5 linked regions of the Mus musculus genome follow. The protein of the gene in region 5 interacts with the protein of the main gene of each other region in a pairwise test. Links are inferred from orthologs where the notes say so. Each region holds a gene or a part of one and is shown on either strand. Other genes may lie near its edges.

Evidence for each region.
Region 1: the proteins of Eef1a1 (region 5) and Hspe1 interact in a two-hybrid assay, tested with the Homo sapiens proteins (2 studies listed by BioGRID and IntAct, with this or other methods). The link is inferred for Mus musculus from reciprocal best matches to the Homo sapiens genes EEF1A1 and HSPE1.
Region 2: the proteins of Eef1a1 (region 5) and Ikbkg interact in a two-hybrid assay, tested with the Homo sapiens proteins (2 studies listed by BioGRID and IntAct, with this or other methods). The link is inferred for Mus musculus from reciprocal best matches to the Homo sapiens genes EEF1A1 and IKBKG.
Region 3: the proteins of Eef1a1 (region 5) and Gadd45g interact in a two-hybrid assay, tested with the Homo sapiens proteins (2 studies listed by BioGRID and IntAct). The link is inferred for Mus musculus from reciprocal best matches to the Homo sapiens genes EEF1A1 and GADD45G.
Region 4: the proteins of Eef1a1 (region 5) and Lamtor5 interact in a two-hybrid assay, tested with the Homo sapiens proteins (2 studies listed by BioGRID and IntAct). The link is inferred for Mus musculus from reciprocal best matches to the Homo sapiens genes EEF1A1 and LAMTOR5.

Annotation. Positions count from the first base shown.
Region 1 is NC_000067.6:55,086,729-55,090,949, reverse strand, and holds the start of Hspe1 (10 kDa heat shock protein, mitochondrial), read right to left. Parts: upstream 2,803-4,221; 5' UTR 2,541-2,802; coding exon 2,538-2,540; intron 1,900-2,537; coding exon 1,735-1,899; intron 238-1,734; coding exon 148-237; intron 1-147. Other genes in the region: Hspd1 (60 kDa heat shock protein, mitochondrial), read left to right, coding at 4,011-4,184. UniProt on the Homo sapiens protein: Co-chaperonin implicated in mitochondrial protein import and macromolecular assembly. Together with Hsp60, facilitates the correct folding of imported proteins.
Region 2 is NC_000086.7:74,428,269-74,432,481, reverse strand, and holds the start of Ikbkg (NF-kappa-B essential modulator), read right to left. Parts: upstream 2,802-4,213; 5' UTR 2,661-2,801; exon of another isoform or gene 816-2,660; intron 1-815. UniProt on the Homo sapiens protein: Regulatory subunit of the IKK core complex which phosphorylates inhibitors of NF-kappa-B thus leading to the dissociation of the inhibitor/NF-kappa-B complex and ultimately the degradation of the inhibitor.
Region 3 is NC_000079.6:51,845,317-51,848,978, reverse strand, and holds Gadd45g (growth arrest and DNA damage-inducible protein GADD45 gamma), read right to left. Parts: upstream 2,305-3,662; 5' UTR 2,200-2,304; coding exon 2,147-2,199; intron 1,628-2,146; coding exon 1,526-1,627; intron 1,424-1,525; coding exon 1,210-1,423; intron 1,111-1,209; coding exon 1,000-1,110; 3' UTR 504-999; downstream 1-503. UniProt on the Homo sapiens protein: Involved in the regulation of growth and apoptosis. Mediates activation of stress-responsive MTK1/MEKK4 MAPKKK.
Region 4 is NC_000069.6:107,277,496-107,281,659, reverse strand, and holds the start of Lamtor5 (ragulator complex protein LAMTOR5), read right to left. Parts: upstream 2,803-4,164; 5' UTR 2,744-2,802; coding exon 2,547-2,743; intron 1,791-2,546; coding exon 1,729-1,790; intron 1-1,728. UniProt on the Homo sapiens protein: As part of the Ragulator complex it is involved in amino acid sensing and activation of mTORC1, a signaling complex promoting cell growth in response to growth factors, energy levels, and amino acids.
Region 5 is NC_000075.6:78,478,923-78,483,181, reverse strand, and holds the start of Eef1a1 (elongation factor 1-alpha 1), read left to right. Parts: upstream 1-1,457; 5' UTR 1,458-1,543; intron 1,544-2,493; 5' UTR 2,494-2,527; coding exon 2,528-2,671; intron 2,672-2,761; coding exon 2,762-2,941; intron 2,942-3,033; coding exon 3,034-3,330; intron 3,331-3,407; coding exon 3,408-3,558; intron 3,559-3,647; coding exon 3,648-3,904; intron 3,905-3,989; coding exon 3,990-4,224; intron 4,225-4,259. UniProt on the Homo sapiens protein: Translation elongation factor that catalyzes the GTP-dependent binding of aminoacyl-tRNA (aa-tRNA) to the A-site of ribosomes during the elongation phase of protein synthesis.

The sequences.
Region 1 (4,221 bases), on a different chromosome or scaffold from region 5:
GGTGGATTTCTGAGTTCGGGGCCAGCCTGGTTTACAGAGTGAGTTCCAGGACAGCCAAGGCTACACAGAGAAACCCAGTCTTGAACCACCCCCTCCCCCGAAATTAAAAAAAAAATAGATAAAATAAAAATTCTTAGCTTGACTTACCTTGTCATCTAGAACTACTTTGGTGCCTCCATATTCTGGGAGAAGAACTTTATCTCCAACTTTCACACTGACAGGCTCAATCTCTCCACTCTGATGAAAACAGTCACTTGTTAGCCAAGAGTCTGCTTGTCTTGTTCATTAGACACACAGTGAACTTTTTGTTTCAGTATGCACACCAGGGGCCTCCTGCCTCAGGTTTGTATTATAGGCATTAACCAGTCACATTAAACTCTGTAACTTTTAAATCACTAAATTAATGAAATGTGCCCAAACCAGTATGTTCTTAGGTACCTAATTAGTGGTTAAGCAATATAATTTACATTAAATATAGATCCCTACAATATAAGAATTGCATAGTTACAATATGAAGGAGACACTCACTAAAACTTCATTTCAGTGGACAACTAAGGCTGGCTAACTTTCTACTGTTAAATATTAACACACCCTGTAGACCAAGTAAAATAAAGCAGCTTGTACCACCAGACGGTAAATGATCATGTATGATTCCTTTCAACAAAAATTCGGCATTACCTTTCTCCGTTTAATATACATTTACTGACTGAATGCCCTTGTTATCTATCAAGAGACTGAAGTGGAATGTCTACTCCCCCTAATACTCTCGCGATTTAGTTAAGTAAAGAACACCCACAGTAGTTCCACCTCCCTTCTCAAGTCTCATGCCAACTAAAACTCAATGGTGTAAGATTAAAACTATTTCAGTGTCTGGGCTCCCCCACCCCTGCCACTTCACCCTTTCTTTTTGGGGAAGGGAGAGGGAGACAGGGTCTATATCAAAATTGACAGGCCATCAATTCCGGATCCTTCTACCTCAGCACTATACCCTTCTCCCAACCTGTGCTTAGAATTAGTTCTGTGCCTTATTAATAAATACCTCCTTCAGCTCTGAAATGGCCGTGGGGGTTTATCTACTTGCGCGATCTTTTTGTCTATTTAAAATTTGAAGAACAGGATATAAAATAGCTACAGAGGTTATTTCATATTGTAAGATTTTGTTTTACTTTTTTGGGACATGGTCTCATCCTGTACCTCCTGCTGGCCTAAAAAGATTCTACAGTCCACCTGCCTTAGGCTCCAAAGAACCTGGGCCACAGGCATGAGCCACCATCAAGGCAGGCACTTTTCAGCCTCTAGAGCTTGGGGCACTGCAGAGTTAGCTCAGTGGGTAAACAGGTAAGTAGACTTGCTATGAAAGTAGGGGAGCCCAAACCAGGATCCTAAAACTAGAGTAAAAAGGCTGTAACCCGCAACATGTTGAGGCCCAGAAACCAGACTAGTCAACACTTTACCCCAAAGGAGTAAGGTGGAGATGCCCCTGCTACACAGCATATAGACATGTGCAAACACGTCACACAAATACCTTTTGCCTTTCTTCAGAAACATAAAATAATTCTAAAACAATATAAAACAGTCATTTTCCTGAATGGGAGGTTCTTTGTGAATTGAAATTTGACTTGAAATTCTTCCCCCCAAAAATGCCATTGTAATTCATTTTTTTAATTACCAAAGGAATTCCCCTCCTTCCACATCACACTGGAATTCAGTACCACTCCAGGGGCACCAGTTTACCTTTCCTTTCCCTCCTGACCCCACAGCCACGACCGTTGCTTGCAACACTTTTCCTTGAGACTTTTCTGGAAGCATAATGCCACCTTTGGTTACAGTTTCGGCAGCACTCCTTTCAACCAATACTCTGTCAAAGAGCGGAAGAAACTTCCTAAAAGCTTGTCCAGCCTGTGGAGAGAAATGTGATCAAACAGAGTGTAAGTTCGAAGTGTCAGAACACGAACAGTTAAGACCACCGCAAGCCTTAACTCTCAACAGGTCAAAACTGACCTGTTCCAAAAAGGACAAGAAAATTCAAGTGTACTTTTAGAATATACTCAGTGTTCCACTCTATATAGGACAAACTGAGTTTCATTTCCCTGTCTGGTGTGTGTGTGTGTGTGGTGGTGGTGGTGGGGGGGGGTCTTCATTACTAATCAGCAATCGCCACCTTGATCTATTCCAAGGTCAAACATTTCTTTAATTTTTTTAAAAATTCGAATAACGGGGGAGTGGCGTCACTTTTCGAGCCTGGATCTTAGTCTTTCTCCAACATAGGACACATCCACTGAAGCCCTGCCAGGGCAGGTGGGCTTCTGCGTGTGCATCGGGTTCCCGCCCCCTGCCCCAGACGCTTTGTCGCACACGTGCGTGCGGCAAAGCCATGGTGGAGAGAGAAATGGCCTCGCTTCTGCAGAGCCATGGGCGGACACCGGACACTGACCAGACCCCGGACCCCTGTCCTATTAGTCCCAAAGCGCACAAGGGTTCGCCGTGGGCCGCAGGCCGAACTGGACCCGCAGGCCTGCCAACCACGAGACACTCACCATGACTCTCGCCTTCGCCGCCACCACCGCAGCTCCGGACTCTGAACTCGGGCCGCTGCTGCAAGGAGAGTCCTGCTGGCCGGCTGGGACACGTGAAAAGGCCGCGCAGCGCGCAGGCGCACTCAGCCCCCCGAGCGTGAGAGGGGGCGGCCACGCCGACGCGCGCGCCGATTGGTGGCGAGGGCTCCGCGCAAGGGGGCCGACGCGGGCGGCCGGAGGCGGAAGAAAAGGGGAGCACTTTCTAGGCTTTTCCAGGCCGGCCGCCGAGGTGAAAGAACGAGCCCCCCTCCCGGAAATGACGCCACTTGACCTTTCACCCACGGGACGCGCGGGGCCTTCCGGAAGGTTCTAGAACGGACCGTGGCCCAGGAACCAGCGTAGGGCGGCGGGAGAGGGCTGAGGCCGCAGAGCTGAGGCGGCTCTGGTACGGAGGGCGGGGCCGCGCGCGCCGCATGCAGATTGCAGGGCCCCGGCGTGGGAGAGAGCGGGGGGCGCGCGCGCGCACACGCGGGGCCGCGGGGCGGGGCGGGGAGGGAGGGGACTCGGGCTCATTGCGGTGCGCGCCCAGAGCTGGGTCCCTCACTCGCCGCAGACGGCCTGCCTCGCCTCGTGCTCTCCTGCCGCCGCCCCGCAGGTACGCGGCCTCGGCGTGCAGGGCGCCCCGGCGCTCGCGGGGGGCTGCTTGCAGCGCGGACCGAGCACGGAGGACTAGGGGGAGAAGTCTGGCAGCGACGCCGCAGGCTCGGCTCACTTGTCCAGGCCCAGCGGGGCCACGCTGGTTTCATCACGTGTGGCGGGGACCACGCGATCCAGGCCGAGCGCCGGAGCAAGGGCGGGCTAGGGTGGAAGCAACTTGGGCCCTCTGGTGCCACCTGCGCCTGGCGCACTGCAGGACTCTGTGGGAGGGTGGTCGGGGTCCTTTAGTCCCCGGTGGCCGCGGCGGTCCGGTGTTCACTTTGACCTTGCTCGGGGCTCCTGGTCGGGAAGACACGTGGGGCCGCGAGGCTGGACTGACCTACTGTCTTTTCCTCCGGCCTTGCTAGCTGCTGTGTTACCGTAGCTTCGGGTGGATACCTGGCGACACACTCAGAGGGTTTTGCACCGTCATGAGTACTTCTGTAGTTCTCTAGGCAATTGCATTTAGAACCTGCCTTGCTTGCACCAACTTGATTTTTTTCCTTTGGACACTTTTCGGAGTGGATCTGCTCCCAAGGCCGCTTTGGCAGTGAAAGATTAACTTGAGAGGGCAGAGTGGGTGGCCATGGGGATGTGGTTTTCTGTGCTTTGTGCTTATGCTGTTGGTCAGGCTTGGGGTCAGCCTCCATGATCAGTTGGCTAGCAGATTATGCCCTGAATCTGCAGCGCCCAGGCATGGTGGTTAGCAGAGGACAGCCCAGCTCCAATCTAGCCTCCCATGTTTTGAAGCACCGTTGGACAAGTTTGTAGTGATTTTTCTTTTTTCCTTCCCCAGAAATGCTTCGACTACCCACAGTCCTTCGCCAGATGAGACCAGTGTCCCGGGCACTGGCTCCTCATCTCACTCGGGCCTATGCCAAAGATGTAAAATTTGGTGCGGACGCTCGAGCCTTAATGCTTCAAGGTGTAGACCTTTTAGCAGATGCTGTAGCTGTTACAATGGGGCCAAAGGTACCAGTATACTTAAATGGTGTTAAAGAATATAGTA
Region 2 (4,213 bases), on a different chromosome or scaffold from region 5:
TGGTCTTTACAGATGTAGTTAAACTAAGGATTTCAAGCCAGGCATAGTGGTGCATGTCTTTAATCCCAGCACTTAGAAGGCACAATCTCTGCGAATTCAAGGCCAGCTTGCTCTACATAGTAAGAACCTGTCTCACAAAAATCAAGGCTCTCAAATTGAGATCACTGCAAGTTATATAGGTGGGCCATGAGCCCAGTAACAAGTACCTTATTACTCAACTAGATTGATATAACCACAGGCCAAGAAACAACTGAGCTACCCACAACTATAAGACACATGAAGGATACTCTTGTACAGCTTGCAGATGAAGCATAACCTTGTTCACCTTCTGGTTTTATTCTCCTGGCCTCCAGACCTGTGAGATATCAATTTTCTGTTCTTTTAAGCCACTTGGCCTGTGGTCACTTCTTACAGGAGTCAAGAAAACACAAACACATGATAAAAGAGACTTCAGGAGACCACATTGTACCTGAAAAGTGTTCACTGGGGATAGAGACCTCTTGTGACTTCTTTGCTCTAAGAAGTGTGAAAGTGTGAACTGGGGTGTCCGAGACACATGACCCCTGATCTGCTTATGCTGGCTTTTAAACCAGAGAATATGCAGGACAATACTAACCTGGAGACCTTGTAAATCCTGCCTCATACTGACAACCAGGAAGAGAATGATCTCAATGCAAGTTTCCAGAAGTGGGCTTTCAATAAGGGAGACCTCCTGTAACACTGGGGAATATTGGCTATTTATACTAAAGGTGTTGCTACCCATAGGTCCATCTGCCTGAGCCCACACAACTGACCCTCCCCACTTTTTCACCTACTTTCTTCCTTCAGGTTCCAGAAAAGCCTTCTCTGCTGGTGACTCACTCCCTCAAAGGCTGATGCTGCTCAGGCCCTTTTCCTGAGTCCCCACTTCTTCACGTTGAGGAACTTTGGGACTTCTTTCTTAACTGCATTCACCCCTGCAGTAATTCCATCCGGTCTCATGGCTTTTAACCCAAATCTTAATGTTGATAATATCCCAAACAGTTCTCATTCCTAAATTCCAGATATTTATAAAACTACTTGGATGTCTAGAAGTCTTAAAAGAAGTTGGAGAGATGTCTCAGCTATTAGGAGCACTCAGTGCTCTTCCAGAGAGCCCAAGTTCAGTTCCCAGCACCCATGTTGGGCAACTCACAACCTTTTGTAACTCCAGCTCCAGGGGATTAGAAACTCAAAGGGAAGGGATCTAGAAGAGACTGTTTAAAAAAATATTGAAGTATGGGCAAGGGAGACAGCTCAGTGGATAAAGGCCCTTGCTATGCAAGCCTGGAGACATGAGAACATATAAAGGTGGAAAGAAGATAGCTGACTCAATGTTGTCCTCTGAGCTCTACACATTCTAGCCATGGCACCTGTGCTCCCTGTACAAATCATACATCATGCATGCATGTGGGGGGCACACACACAAATAGTAATTTTTGTAGCATGCCAATTATGTCTCAAGAAAGCTGTTATTGAAAATCGCAATGGGTGGAGCAAGAGAGATAATGGTTCAGGGATTAAGAGCACTTGTTGTTGCAGATGTGGCTCACAAACATCTGTAACTCCAATCCAAGGGGATCTGAAACCTTCTTCTGACTCCCTTGGGCACTAGGAAAGCATAGCAAAGCACCTATACACATAAAATAACATCTTCTGTAGAAAAGAAAATAATCATGGTAAAGGATTGTAATGGGGTGTGGATTAAAGTTAACTATGAGCTGATAGTCACAGCTAAGAAATGTGTACATGGAATTTACTATATTATTATTTCTACTTTTGTACATTTTAAATTTTTTCAGTAATTCAAGGCTGACAGCGCTATCATCTTTCACCTGCATTACTGCAATAATCTCTTTACGGGTCACCATGCTTTGCCTTTTCAATGGCCCTTTGCAGTTAATTGGCCCCACTGGGGCCAATTACCTCAAAAATAACTCAAACTACTTCTCTTCTCTACCATGAACTCTTTCAGAGTTTCCATTTCTCCTAGTGTTAAAAAGCAAAGTCCATACAACAGCCTACAAGATCCTATACCACCTATACTCCCTTCCTTCCTCTCCACCAACTATTCTCCCTTGCCCTCTCTGGTCCTTCCTTTTTCCTAGGAAATGCCAAGACAACACATTCCTTCTCAGGTCAGATAAATGTTATGAGGACAGGCAAACAGATTACTATGAATCATTTGCAAAGTAAACTGAGGTGCAGAAGGTAAGACCTTTAGTTGTGAAGGTACACGTGAAAACTTTTTAAAGACTTCAAATGCACTCAAGTTTGATAAACAGCCTAGCCTGATGGCGAACACCTGTTGCTCTAGCACTCGAAAGGCTGAGGCAGAACTTTGAGTTCGAGGTCTACCTGGCCTACAGTGCAAAACGTGTTTCAGAAACAGTTTGATCAACAGAAAATGTCTGCTACCTAAAGAGTTCTAGCACTAGGGGCCAAGCCCTTAGGCGACAGCTGCAGTGAAGGGAAGGGCAGATTCAATCCGACTAGCCTAAATAATCTGGGTAGCGAATAATTAGAAGCTTGCGGCAGAACAAACTGGGCCTAAGGTGGGGGGAAGGGTGTGGACCTCTGGAGTCTCGGAAGCTACGAAACAGCCACCGATGGAGCCCTGTCTTTGGAGAAGAGGACCACACCTGTCAGCAGAGTCGGCCAGAAGTGAAGAGGGCAGGAGCAGAGGGATCCGACCGCTCCGACAGAACCGGAGCTCCTAGAAAGTCCTAGTCAGGCGGTCACCCTTCCCTTCTCTGCAGTGGAAAACTCCACTTCCGGCTTCCGGTGTCGTAAGTGCGGGATCCGGAAGTAAAACACAGACTCAAAGGCTTGGAGATTAACCAGTGAATCAAAACCCCAAAGTGCCATACTCTGTTCCAAAGAAAAGTCTTAGATCGCCAGCCTGCGTCGGCCAGCAGAACACCAGAGCTCTCCTCACTGATAAACATCACACACTTATACACACACTTTTTTTTTGAGACAGGGTCCCATAAGACCAGGGTCTCGAACTCAGAGATCTACCTGCCTCTTTTTTCCCGTCTGCTAGGATTAAAGTAGTGCGTCACCACGCCCACACTCGCCCCTACCCCATTTTCAAGGCACCGCATCCGCACTAAAACACCCAAGTTTCAGTCTGGTCCTGCTACTGGGCTCTCTGCCGCTGGGCCCCCACCAAGGAAAAAGCCTAGAGGAAGCTGCGAAAGTCCAGCTCCGAAGCCAAACTAGCAGCTAGGGAAGGCGTGGCTATGCTGCTAACGGAAGTGGGGTCATCCGGGAAGGTGCAGGGCCTCGAAGGTCCAGCGGAAAGCTAGGCCATACATAATGGCTGGGTGACACAGGAGACGGGGACCCAGGAGAACTGTGTGGAGCTGCACTTATGACAAGACTTTGCGATCTCGAAATTGTAGGGGCAGCGGCATCGGGGAAGGCCAAAGGGCGGGGCTGGCCAGGGATGCGCGCGCATCTCCTCCTGCAATGATAGACTAGCCCGAAGCTCCTCCCCTCCTGCCTCTCCTGAGGCGGGTCAGCTCAGTCAAAGCACACGCCCTCTTGCGTTAAATGGGCCAGCGAAGCTTAGCCCCCGGAAACTGGCTGTGCGCTACAGATCTGTGAACGTGTTTGGCAGCGGCAACTAAACTCAGGTAAAGGGGTGGTCTGATGGCATGTCGGTGGAGGGACATGCTTCACGCTTGTACGCCGCGAGTCCCTTTGATGCGCGCTAATCTACAAGTTTTTAACCCATCCCTTTGTATCCCGCACTTTCCCCGCATTGGGCCCATGAGGACTAGACCTTTAGAAGAGAAGGGACTTTCGGGGATCACCCAACTGGGCCAGAAGAGAGCCGGAGCTGAACTCCATCATCTGCACAATCAAACGTGCTCAGTTCATTGTGGAGTTTCTGGCAGACACCCGAGTACGATACGATGGTCCCATATACAGAGTGTGATGCCGTAACCAGATTTTATCTAGCTGCCCACAGTGGATGTCCTAGGTGAATTATATTAAAGCTTTAGTACTTTCGTAATGTACAGCCCCTAGCGAAGGCAACTTTGGAGGTTATGGCTGGAGCTCAGAGGCAGCAGTTTCTGAATCTCCGAATGCATGTATGCTCGCGCGCGCGCGCGCGCGCGCGCGTACACACACACACACACACAGAGCATTCCCGGCCAGTGGTTTTAGTAATCGTCACCAGCCT
Region 3 (3,662 bases), on a different chromosome or scaffold from region 5:
AGTAGCGTAGCTTTGTCAGAGCAATTAAAAGGAGAAAGTTCCTGAAAGCTAGAGCAACCCGCCCCCATCCCCAGCCACCGCACCAAGGGCAGAGCTGCAGAGGCAAGCTCATTGTATTGGAAGGCACAGGGCCTCCCGCAAGCTGTTCAGATAAGCAGCTGTCGAGGCAAAGGTGGGGGGAGGGGGCGGAGCGGGGGAGGGGAGGTACTGGAGGCAGAAGTCACTGTTATCGAATTGGATTGCAAGCCTGGAGCTCCTGCACCCGGATGCCTTATCAAGTATGCTCCTGTCTTGCAAGTTTGAAATCTTCCTGAAAGGCTCAAACAGTACTCTGGCCCAAGTTCTCCCGTTTACTACTCGCCTGCACCCCCTCCCCCACCGCCAGCCCCAGGAGGCTGCAGTTTCTTGCCCCAACAGAAAGGTGGTCCCAGGTGCCGTGAAACATCCTTTACCGCCGCCCCCTCCCCATTAGAATCCCCTACCCTCAATAAAAAGGCATTAAGTTTGTTTCAATAAGTTTATTGTGATATTCAAAGCTTCCACGATAGCGTCCTTTAGAAAATGAAAGCATTGCCCGGGATCCGTTTTTTGAAAGAGCAGTGCAGTCGGCTAAGTCCAGCTCGCTCCTGCAGTGGCCGCTCCTGCCGCTGTACCAAGTCCAGGCGGTCGCCTGCCTTTCTTTCCCCTCCTTTCACTGGAAGGCTGCTTGCTGAGTCACACCTGCCTCGCTGGTCGGTTCTTCCCGGCCCTGGGGCCAACGTCCTCGCCTAGGCCTTCCTGTGCTAGCAGCCTCTCCGGACACTGGCAGAGTCCTGGGCTCGGAACAAGGTGTCCCCGCTGCCGCCAGACCCCCTTCTTGGGAGGCCGCGCTCCTCGCTCTCCAGGCAACATCGCCTGCCAGTCTCCACGCGCACTCGAGCGCCCTCGGAGGGCCACTCCAGAGCCAGCAGCGCGCTAGAGTGTCACCAAGTCGATCAGACCAAGGTCCCTGCCAGGCTGTCACTCGGGAAGGGTGATGCTGGGCACCCAGTCGTTGAAGCTGCGGCTCTCCTCGCAGAACAAACTGAGCTTCTCCAAGGCAGGGTCCTTCCATGTGTCCTCATTAGGATTCTGAATTTAAAAAAAAAAAAAATACATGGGTCAGCCATGCTTGTCGTTGGCCAGGATGGTTTGGGGGACTGGCGTAGGGAAACAGTGGGGGACACTCACCGAAATGAGGATGCAATGCAGGTCTCCCGGCGCGCCCCCCTCTTCGTCGGCGCCCACGATCGCCGCCAGCCTCTGCACGTCTCCCACGCGCACGATATCAATGTCGTTCTCACAGCAGAACGCCTGAATCAACGTGAAATGGATCTGCAGCGCTATGTCGCCCTCATCTTCTTCATCGGCAGCCAGCACGCAAAAGGTCACATTGTCAGGGTCCCTGCAGAGCAGATGGGAAGGACAAGGTCAGAGTCGATGCCACCCCCAGGTCTCCGCGCCGCGCCAACCCCAATCCCTGCACGCGGGGCCTTTCTACACTCACACATTCAGGACTTTGGCGGACTCGTAGACGCCAGCGGTCAGACAGCCCTGGCGCTGCGCCGACAGCAGAAGTTCGTGCAGTGCTTTCCCGGCGCCCTGCATCCTGTGAAAGAACAAGCGCCGTGAGTGGGGACCAGCACGGGGACGCGACGGAGAGATCCCTGCCCTGACCTCCAAGTCCCAGCTGGCCCCTTAGCCTAGACCTGCCTGGCGCCAGCATTCCTGCCTCCCAACTCCAACCTGGCGCCCACACACCAGGATCCCCAGTCCCGACCTGGCGCCCACACACCCGGATCCCCAGTCCCGACCTGACGCCCACACCTCTGGCACCCTAGTCATGATCTGGCGCCCTCATTCCCCATCACCCAGTCTCGACCTGGCGCCTGCACTCCCAGTTCCCTACTTCTGATCTGGCGCCCGTATATCAGGCTCCCCAACTACGATCAGGTGCTGGCACCCCAAACTCTAGCTCTAGACACGAATCGAATGCAGTAATTCTGGTCCCGCGCCTCGGCACCTCACAGCCAGACAGTGCACGGCTCCCACCCTGCAAACTTCTATCCTAGAGGACCCTGTAAGACCACTACCAGACAAGGCCAACTCTCGGCACCCCAAAACCCACCTGGCTGTGCTTTCCGGAACTGTATCCTGGCCACGGACTTCTTCCAGAGTCATTGTGCGATCCACGAACAGCAAGTTATCCAAAAGAGTGCGGAGGGAACCCGAGCGCAGGTAAAGATTCCCAGAGTCCGATGCGCGCCCACCACCAGCGAGTGCGCCAGGCTGGGCCGGGAGAGCCCTTTTATAGACAGGCTCGGCGCGCCGCCGCCAGCTGGCGGGAGGCTGCACTCCCATTGGCCAGCGCCCGCTTTCTGATGCAAATGAGGCGGCAGGCCTGCGGCTCGTGCCAGAAGGCCACGTGGGGAGGGGTGCGGGGGATGACACAGCCTCAAATCTGCCGCTTTTGTCAGGGTGTTACCAGGCAGACTGGAGCCTGCAGATTTCATCTCGCCTTTCTTTTTTTGTAAGTCCTTAAAAGGAAAAAGTTTAAAAAAAAAGTACGTTGTTTGCTGATACGATACTGGAATTTGTAGAATGCACACTTGGAGAATGTAAAAGCCCCCTCTTTTTTTTTTTTTTTTTGCTCTTTTTTTTTTTTTTTTTTTTGCGACCTTTCTAATTTTTCCTCAATTTTCAGTTTGAAGTTTATAGGGTTGTTACATCGAAACCGAAACTTAAAGTCAAAGGTTTGCAACTGCAGCTGACATTAGGCCTAGGCTGCCACTAGGGACTCAGGACTCTGCGCCTTTCGGGGTCGCGGCTGCAAGGTCTAAGCCCTCCCATCCCCCACCCCTACCCCTAGCAGATCGCTGTGGGACGCGGGCAGCAGGGACCAGCAGATTGCTGCCGGCACACGCGGCTCGTTTGCATTTCTATACGGGGCACACAAAAGAGGAGGTCTGGCGTGTGGCAGTTCGCGGTGGGGACAATCGACGCTTTCTCTTTCATAGCAACACTGTCCACCTGCCGCCGGTGGGGTGGGCCGAGCCCCGTCGGGAGCCGGGGTCGCGGGGTTGCCCGGCGCGTGGGGGTCGGAGCAGCGTGCCGCTCCCCCGCCACTGGGTGCGCACCTCTTAGGCTTATTCTGACTGCTGGGATTCTGATGCACGCGTGCTAAGCTCGAGAGTGAGCTGTACACCAAGGCTACTGTGCCCCAAACCCCAGAGGTTCCGGGGTTCAGACTCCGGGAACTCGGCTGTTCCACATTGTTTTTCCCAGGGCGCCGCCTACCGGCCGACCTAGAAAAATCCAGATCCTCTCATCCACCCACCAAATATTGCCTCGCGTTGACCTCTCAGGGGGGTTTGAGCTGGGACACCCCAAGCACCGAGAACCCTGTGCTATTATGCGCATCATTTAGAATCAGGGTAACGCCTGCACCGGGCGCCCGGGCCTGGAGACCGAAAGGAGCCTGCCACCCAGGACCAAGAATCCGTTTGTCTTATGAGAATTTGAAATATTTCAACTACTTAAAAATGTTTCTTCAAGAGGTTCTTTTCTGATAACGTAATAAAATTAGAAGTGATCTTGAGAGCTTTCTGAACTTATCGTTTGTCCCGTGGGACCTGCACATCAGG
Region 4 (4,164 bases), on a different chromosome or scaffold from region 5:
ACACCTTCTCAAGCATATAAGGAAGCTGTAATTCAAGTCATCTGATGGTAGTAACTATTTTATAGGAACCTTGCTGAAACCAAGAAATTCAAAGGCGAGAGTGACAAAAAGCATTCAGTATGGATAAGGGGCTTGTTGATGCTAATTAATTCCTTATGGGAAATCTGAGTTTCTCTTCCTATGCTCAATCTCAAAGAAGCAGCCATTACTCAGAAGTCCAGTTGTAAGATCACCTTGCCAGCATATGTGAAGACCTGTGAGCAACTATTTCTGCTAGCAGAAGCTAGCTGGGCTCCTTTCAAATGTCCCCCGAGTCTTTACTATTACTTTGACTTGTATTAACTAAATCAGGCTCTAGGCACAAAAGGTAACCACCAAGCTTATTATAGATCCCTGAAATAAAGGGGTTTACTTACACCTAAAACTAAGGTAGTAGACAATATAACCTGGCAGAAATTCTGGATTGACTATTACTACATAAAAAATCCGTAGGCCAAAGTGCAGCCCGGAAATCTATTGGAAATAGCAACTTCGCACCTTGAAGGTTTTACTTAGTTTTTTTTTTTCCTCCACATTTGCATTTAAAGAGTTTTCATTAGTAACTTGGCAAATGCTTCAAAAAAATTTACCTTTGTTCCAAATGGCTGCTTTTTGTATAAGACATAACTATATTACTTTTGTCAGGTATCATACCAGCAAAAGATCAGAGCTCTAAAAAACCTGCATCAGTTATAAGGATTCTTGGGTTTACTAGTTTCTGACATTAATTAACTTTAGCTATTTACCTTTCTGGACTTAGTTCCTTATCTGTAATTGCTACAATTTATTGAACACCACACAAACACATCTTGGTTCTGTACTGGGTGTTTTAAGCTTTGGAGCCAGCTTTAAAAACATCCTATCTCAACCATTCATTAGGTGTTTGACCCTGGGCAAGGTACTTTTAAGCTTGCTAAATTTCTTGACCATAAAGGGCTTTGGTGGGGGGGGGGGGGCAGGAAGGGGGGTTATGTACGTTTTATAATGAAAACACTAAGAATAGTGCCTGGCTGGGCATGGTGATGCACACCTTTGTTCCCAGCATTCAAGGGATAGAGGCAGGCAGATCTCTGTGAGTTACAGGCCAGCATGGTCTACAAAGTTTGTTCCAGGACAGCCAGGGCCACGTAGAATAAGTTTTTAAAAAAAAATGTCTTAAGACAACACACACATAATGTATGTATGAAATAAAATAACCCAATGAAGAAACTGAAGCCCCAAGAGGCTCCTTCTGTTCGGCACTCATGTTGCTAGCAGACAGCATCGGAGAATGGGGTTGAAGTCAGACGTGTCTAACTAGGAAATCCCTATTTTTACTGACAATAACTTACTGTTGAGAGTGGCTGGACTAGCAGCCAGCATCATCCATTTTCAGGGTTATTGAGGCAATTAAGGAAATAGTGTAGCCTGACTGTGCCTGCACAGGGAATGCATTCAGTAAAGATGTCCTTATCTAAAGCCCTTTTCTAGACCACTTAAAATTTATTCAAAACCATTTTAGTAGGAACAGTTGTAGAACTGGGAGGAACATTTCTGCCTTTAAAATGCAACTGAAAGGCTTCAACCATCTACTCTTACTTGGAGATAGTCTCTATGCCCTAAAGGTAACAGGAATAAAAGCTAGAAAATAGTAGCAGTGTAAGTTAAGGCTCTCAGAACTTCAAAGGGAGGCTGGTAGGAGACACTTACAGCCCAGATTAAGTCCTTGTGAATCTGTGCATAGGACTCCAACAATGGATGGATTCTTCATTCTAATTTTGGGAGCACAAGAAAGATGAACCAGATGATGTGAAGAAAATATTTCAAATTACTGTAGTAAAACAGATTTTCTATGCACCGAGTATTAAGCACTTCAAATCAGCCCTTAAATTTTTTCGCCCCCTTTCAGAGGACAAACTGTGAGTTGTTTAAATAAACAAAACAAAACCCAAACCATTTTCTCAGGCACCTCTGCTTCACAAAGACACAAACAAGGCAGTTATCTTTAGGGCTCTGTCCTTGGTATAGAAGCATGCTCTAGGACTGCAACTCCTGAAGACAACTGTTAAATCTCAGTAACGGGAATTGCTCCTGGAGGGGATTAAGAAGCTCAAGGAGGAGGTGTCTTCTTGTAAGCCACTTTACACCTCCCAATTTTAAATTTTACAGAGATAGCTGAAAAACTTTACGGATATATTTACTTCACAAGCGCTGAGCAACTGACGGGCCACAAACGCGGGAAGATGTGCGTGAAAGTGCTTTGGCACTGCGGGGGCTCGATTTAGCACACCCGGGGCATCCTTCCCCAAACTTAATCCGTTTCCCAAACTTCTCAAGAGCTACTCGATTCTGCGAACACGCCTAACGAAACTTTACTACCCAGTAACGAGCGGCCCGGCCGTAGGCAGAAGTCACCCGCTCGCCGCCCCGAGTGCCCCAAACGCTTCCGCAGACACTCGCGGTCCATGCCGCTGTCCCATTCCAGCTCCCCTGTCCGGAGCCCAGGACCGGCCGCACGCACTACTCACGTGTCCTCCAAATGCTGCTCCAAAGTCGCCTCCATCCCGCAGGCTGTCCGCCCCAGGCCAGGACCCCGCAGCAAAACACTTCCTCCTTCACCGCAAACCTCGATCACGTGACTTGACCGAGGCGGGCGCCTGGACGGCGTCTCCAGAGGGACGAAATTCAGCGCGGCGCCGCGTCCGCGCTCTTTACGAAAAGGCATAGCTACTACCACAGGACCAGTGATGGCTGGCTTTCGATTGGGGGTGCTGGGCCTTCAAAGCAATCTGTAGTCGGGCCTCAGGGCCTTTTCCTGACCTAGCACTTGGACTTAGTGATTTTTAACCTTTGGATTTGGTTCAAGCAATTTCCAGTCCTAACCAGACGTAGACCTGGTTTAAATTTTAAAGTAACCAGCAGGTCTGGCATGGTCTCATCTATGCAATAGGCCAATCGCTAAGAAGACAGTGCTCAGTTTCTGACCCTAGGTCAAGAGGCTGAGGTGTATACTTTACCTATCAAAGCAGAACTGGCCTCCAGGTTCTGCATCCCTCAGTTCCCACCTGGCATACCTTGCCCCCAACCCTGAACTTTCCAGCCCAGGGGCTGGGCTGCCCTTCCCTTTCTATAGGGCTCCTTTCTATAGAATCCAGACATTTTGGTCTCCTTCTCCTTTTCTCTCTCTGCACACATTCCCCCTTCTCTCTTTCTTCCTTCCTTTCCCAGGAAACTTCGCTGGCCTTGGTCCTTGGGGCCAGTGAACTCACCCACCGGCTGGCAGCTTCCCAATAAACCTGCCTTTAACATCATCTACTCTGGTTTAAATTGATTCATTTCACCAACATCGGAGGAGAAGTAACCTATCACACAGGGCCGATGGGGAGGGGTGCACACACGGGACTAAAGGAAGAGATGGCACACGTTGAAACCCCAAACTGCGTGCTGGGAAAGTGTCAGAATCTTAACATTGGTACCTTCTTTGTTCTCGTAGGTTGGCCTCGAATTCTCCCACCTTTGTCCTGTGATTTACTGCCATGTGCCATATTTAATTTGCATTGATACTTCTAATAGCTAGGTCATGGGAAGTTTTAGGGGGAAGAAATTAGGTTTAAGTTTTAGGTGTTAGTGAAGACCGTGTATTATTACTTTAAAATAACTGAGCTTTAAAATTTTTATTCCCTTTTCTGTTTTAGAGACAGTATCTCATATACCCCTCATTGCCCTCAAATTTGCAGTGTGTCCGAGGCTGGCCTTGAAGTATTGATCTCTCTGCTTTTACTTCCCAAGTGCTGGGATTACACCAACATGCCTGGGTTTAAAAACTTTAGAATAAACTAACCACTCATAGTCCTACTGTGAAGAGATGATAGTTTGATAAGGATATTTTGGAGACTATCTTTTCCATATGGCTATCTTTGCAAATGTATTATTTGAATTTTTTTTGTTTTTTGTTTTTTGTTTTTTTTTTTTTTTTGTTTTTCGAGACAGGGTTTCTCTGTGTAGCCCTGGCTGTCCTGGAACTCACTCTGTAGAGAAATGTTTTTTAAAAGCAAAATCAATATACATACTATATATACAATTCTGAATTATGTAGCAGGGATTCTTCACAGAATTTATTATAAATACCTTTTCAGGACAGTAAGT
Region 5 (4,259 bases):
TGTAAATTTGCTTTGAACTGGTTCCAAATTGTTTTATATTTAAGTTTTTCCCTTGACTGTGGAACTCTTCCCCAGAAACAAATAGTTCCTTTGCAAATCCTGTGTGTTTTTGTGAACACTAGACAGAGGCCCTCAAATGCTCCTAGTAAGGTTGGTGCAAGAACATCAAATGTTTGTAACTGGGAAGTGATGTTGTACACCTGGGAGAGGAGATCCAATGATGGATAATCAGATAGGATATCTTTGAGCTAGGAACTGTAACTTGGTGATAGACACCCTAGGGTTCCATCTCCAGCACCCCATATCCCATTACAAAATAATTCTTTTTCCATCTCTAGCATTAAAAAACAAAACAAAGAAGTTCTTCTTTCCTCTGAGAAACACTTCTGTGTGCCTGCTCTGAGAGGCATTTAAAAATGGCCAGGGCTTTAATCCCAGCAGGTCCAGGTCGGATTCCTGTGAATTTGAAGTCAGCCTGGTCTACTACCTATTCCAGGGCAGCCAGGGCTAAAAAAGAGAGACCTTGTCTCAATAACAAAACAATGCTGGTATGATCGCTAGAATTGCAGCAAAGAAAGGGATGTAACTAACAAGGCAAGCCATTTTTGAGAAGCAGTGATTTCACAAGTGTTAGGGATGGGCGCTGGGAGATTGCTGATGCTGGTATTTAGATGAGACCATGTGGGGTGGATTAGATTATTTTCAGGTTTCTCATGTTCAATCAAATGGCTGTACATACACATGTACACATACAATCTTTTTAGTGTAACAAACCTAGAATCAAAGTAAAGCTAACTGTAGGATTGAAGCATATTCTGAACTGAACCCTTAGGGGTGTGAAGGCCGCTTCAGGTTTCCAGAGAATCAACCGGCATTGGATGGAATAAACCAAGGGGCCAGCCCAGGGGCAGATCGGTCGAGCTCTCCGCTACTGAGCTAAGCCCTTGGGTTCTAGAGCCGGGAAGGGTCCCCAACATTGTGTTCCTCTCCCAGCCAGGAGAGCATGGGCTGCGGGAGGCGAACAGAAGGATAGCGGGGCTGACGTCGGGAGGTGGCCTCCGTGGGAAGGGACACCCGGATCTTGACACAGCCTTGGCAGCGGAGTAAGGAAGAGTAGGGATAGATTCTGGCCGCCCTCTTGGCCAGCTTCTCGCCGCCCCACCCTCCGCTAGGGCCAAGAGTAATTCATACAAAAGGAGGGATCGCCTTCGCCTGGGGAAGTCCCAGGGACCGTCGCTAAATTCTCATAACCCATAATCCCGGTACCCGCCCCACCACAGTGCGAGGAGCATGCGCTCAGGGCTGAGCGCGGGGAGAGCAGAGCACACAAGCTCATAGACCCTGGTCGTGGGGGGAGGGGCGCACTGAGCGGGGGGGGGGGGGGTGATGGGGGGGAGGACCGGGGAGCTGGCGCGGGGCAAACTGGGAAAGCGGTGTCGTGTGCTGGCTCCGCCCTCTTCCCGAGGGTGGGGGAGAACGGTATATAAGTGCGGCAGTCGCCTTGGACGTTCTTTTTCGCAACGGGTTTGCCGTCAGAACGCAGGTGAGGGGCGGGTGTGGCTTCCGCGGGCCGCCGAGCTGGAGGTCCTGCTCCGAGCGGGCCGGGCCCCGCTGTCGTCGGCGGGGATTAGCTGCGAGCATTCCCGCTTCGAGTTGCGGGCGGCGCGGGAGGCAGAGTGCGAGGCCTAGCGGCAACCCCGTAGCCTCGCCTCGTGTCCGGCTTGAGGCCTAGCGTGGTGTCCGCGCCGCCGCCGCGTGCTACTCCGGCCGCACTCTGGTCTTTTTTTTTTTGTTGTTGTTGTTGCCCTGCTGCCTTCGATTGCCGTTCAGCAATAGGGGCTAACAAAGGGAGGGTGCGGGGCTTGCTCGCCCGGAGCCCGGAGAGGTCATGGTTGGGGAGGAATGGAGGGACAGGAGTGGCGGCTGGGGCCCGCCCGCCTTCGGAGCACATGTCCGACGCCACCTGGATGGGGCGAGGCCTGGGGTTTTTCCCGAAGCAACCAGGCTGGGGTTAGCGTGCCGAGGCCATGTGGCCCCAGCACCCGGCACGATCTGGCTTGGCGGCGCCGCGTTGCCCTGCCTCCCTAACTAGGGTGAGGCCATCCCGTCCGGCACCAGTTGCGTGCGTGGAAAGATGGCCGCTCCCGGGCCCTGTTGCAAGGAGCTCAAAATGGAGGACGCGGCAGCCCGGTGGAGCGGGCGGGTGAGTCACCCACACAAAGGAAGAGGGCCTGGTCCCTCACCGGCTGCTGCTTCCTGTGACCCCGTGGTCCTATCGGCCGCAATAGTCACCTCGGGCTTTTGAGCACGGCTAGTCGCGGCGGGGGGAGGGGATGTAATGGCGTTGGAGTTTGTTCACATTTGGTGGGTGGAGACTAGTCAGGCCAGCCTGGCGCTGGAAGTCATTTTTGGAATTTGTCCCCTTGAGTTTTGAGCGGAGCTAATTCTCGGGCTTCTTAGCGGTTCAAAGGTATCTTTTAAACCCTTTTTTAGGTGTTGTGAAAACCACCGCTAATTCAAAGCAAAAATGGGAAAGGAAAAGACTCACATCAACATCGTCGTAATCGGACACGTAGATTCCGGCAAGTCCACCACAACCGGCCACCTGATCTACAAATGTGGTGGAATCGACAAGCGAACCATCGAAAAGTTTGAGAAGGAGGCTGCTGAGGCAAGTATAAGGCAAAAGGAGGGATGGGAATTCTTTAAGCAGGGAGTAGAACCTAGGTCTTGGGTGTACTAATTAGAAGTCACTTTGCAGATGGGAAAGGGCTCCTTCAAGTACGCCTGGGTCTTAGACAAACTGAAAGCTGAGCGTGAGCGTGGTATCACTATTGACATCTCCCTGTGGAAATTCGAGACCAGCAAATACTATGTGACCATCATTGATGCCCCAGGACACAGAGACTTCATCAAAAACATGATTACAGGCACATCCCAGGTGTGTAAAATTTACCCATTCCTGACTCAGGATATTTTTTAGTGGGGTGCTTTCTCTGAGATAATGGTATATGATTGTCTTGTTTCTTACAGGCTGACTGTGCTGTCCTGATTGTTGCTGCTGGTGTTGGTGAATTTGAAGCTGGTATCTCCAAGAACGGGCAGACCCGCGAGCATGCTCTTCTGGCTTACACCCTGGGTGTGAAACAGCTGATTGTTGGTGTCAACAAAATGGATTCCACCGAGCCACCATACAGTCAGAAGAGATACGAGGAAATCGTTAAGGAAGTCAGCACCTACATTAAGAAAATTGGCTACAACCCTGACACAGTAGCATTTGTGCCAATTTCTGGTTGGAATGGTGACAACATGCTGGAGCCAAGTGCTAATGTAAGTGACTTTTAAGGTAGTTGAATGGAGAAAGCCGCAATAAGTAAGGAGGTTATAATTGACTGCCTGTGTTTTAGATGCCTTGGTTCAAGGGATGGAAAGTCACCCGCAAAGATGGCAGTGCCAGTGGCACCACGCTGCTGGAAGCTTTGGATTGTATCCTACCACCAACTCGTCCAACTGACAAGCCCCTGCGACTGCCCCTCCAGGATGTCTATAAAATTGGAGGTAAGTAGAATATTAAGTAGAATGTTGACGTGAATTTGAAGTCTTATGTTTTGTGTATTAAATACTTATACAAAACAATACTATTTTAGGCATTGGCACTGTCCCTGTGGGCCGAGTGGAGACTGGTGTTCTCAAGCCTGGCATGGTGGTTACCTTTGCTCCAGTCAATGTAACAACTGAAGTCAAGTCTGTTGAAATGCACCATGAAGCTTTGAGTGAAGCTCTTCCTGGGGACAATGTGGGCTTCAATGTAAAGAACGTGTCGGTCAAAGATGTTAGACGAGGCAATGTTGCTGGTGACAGCAAAAACGACCCACCAATGGAAGCAGCTGGCTTCACTGCTCAGGTGACACATTTTTAAGATAGGTGGCTAGATTGGTTGTGTGTGCAGAATCACAAGGCAAGACTTAAATACACGCTGTTTTTCTTAGGTGATTATCCTGAACCATCCAGGCCAAATCAGTGCTGGCTACGCTCCTGTTCTGGATTGTCACACAGCCCACATAGCATGCAAGTTTGCTGAGCTTAAAGAAAAGATCGATCGTCGTTCTGGTAAGAAGCTGGAAGATGGCCCCAAGTTCCTGAAGTCTGGCGATGCTGCCATTGTTGATATGGTCCCTGGCAAGCCCATGTGTGTTGAGAGCTTCTCTGACTACCCTCCACTTGGTAAGCCTGATCTGAGTCTGCTACACTGAACATCA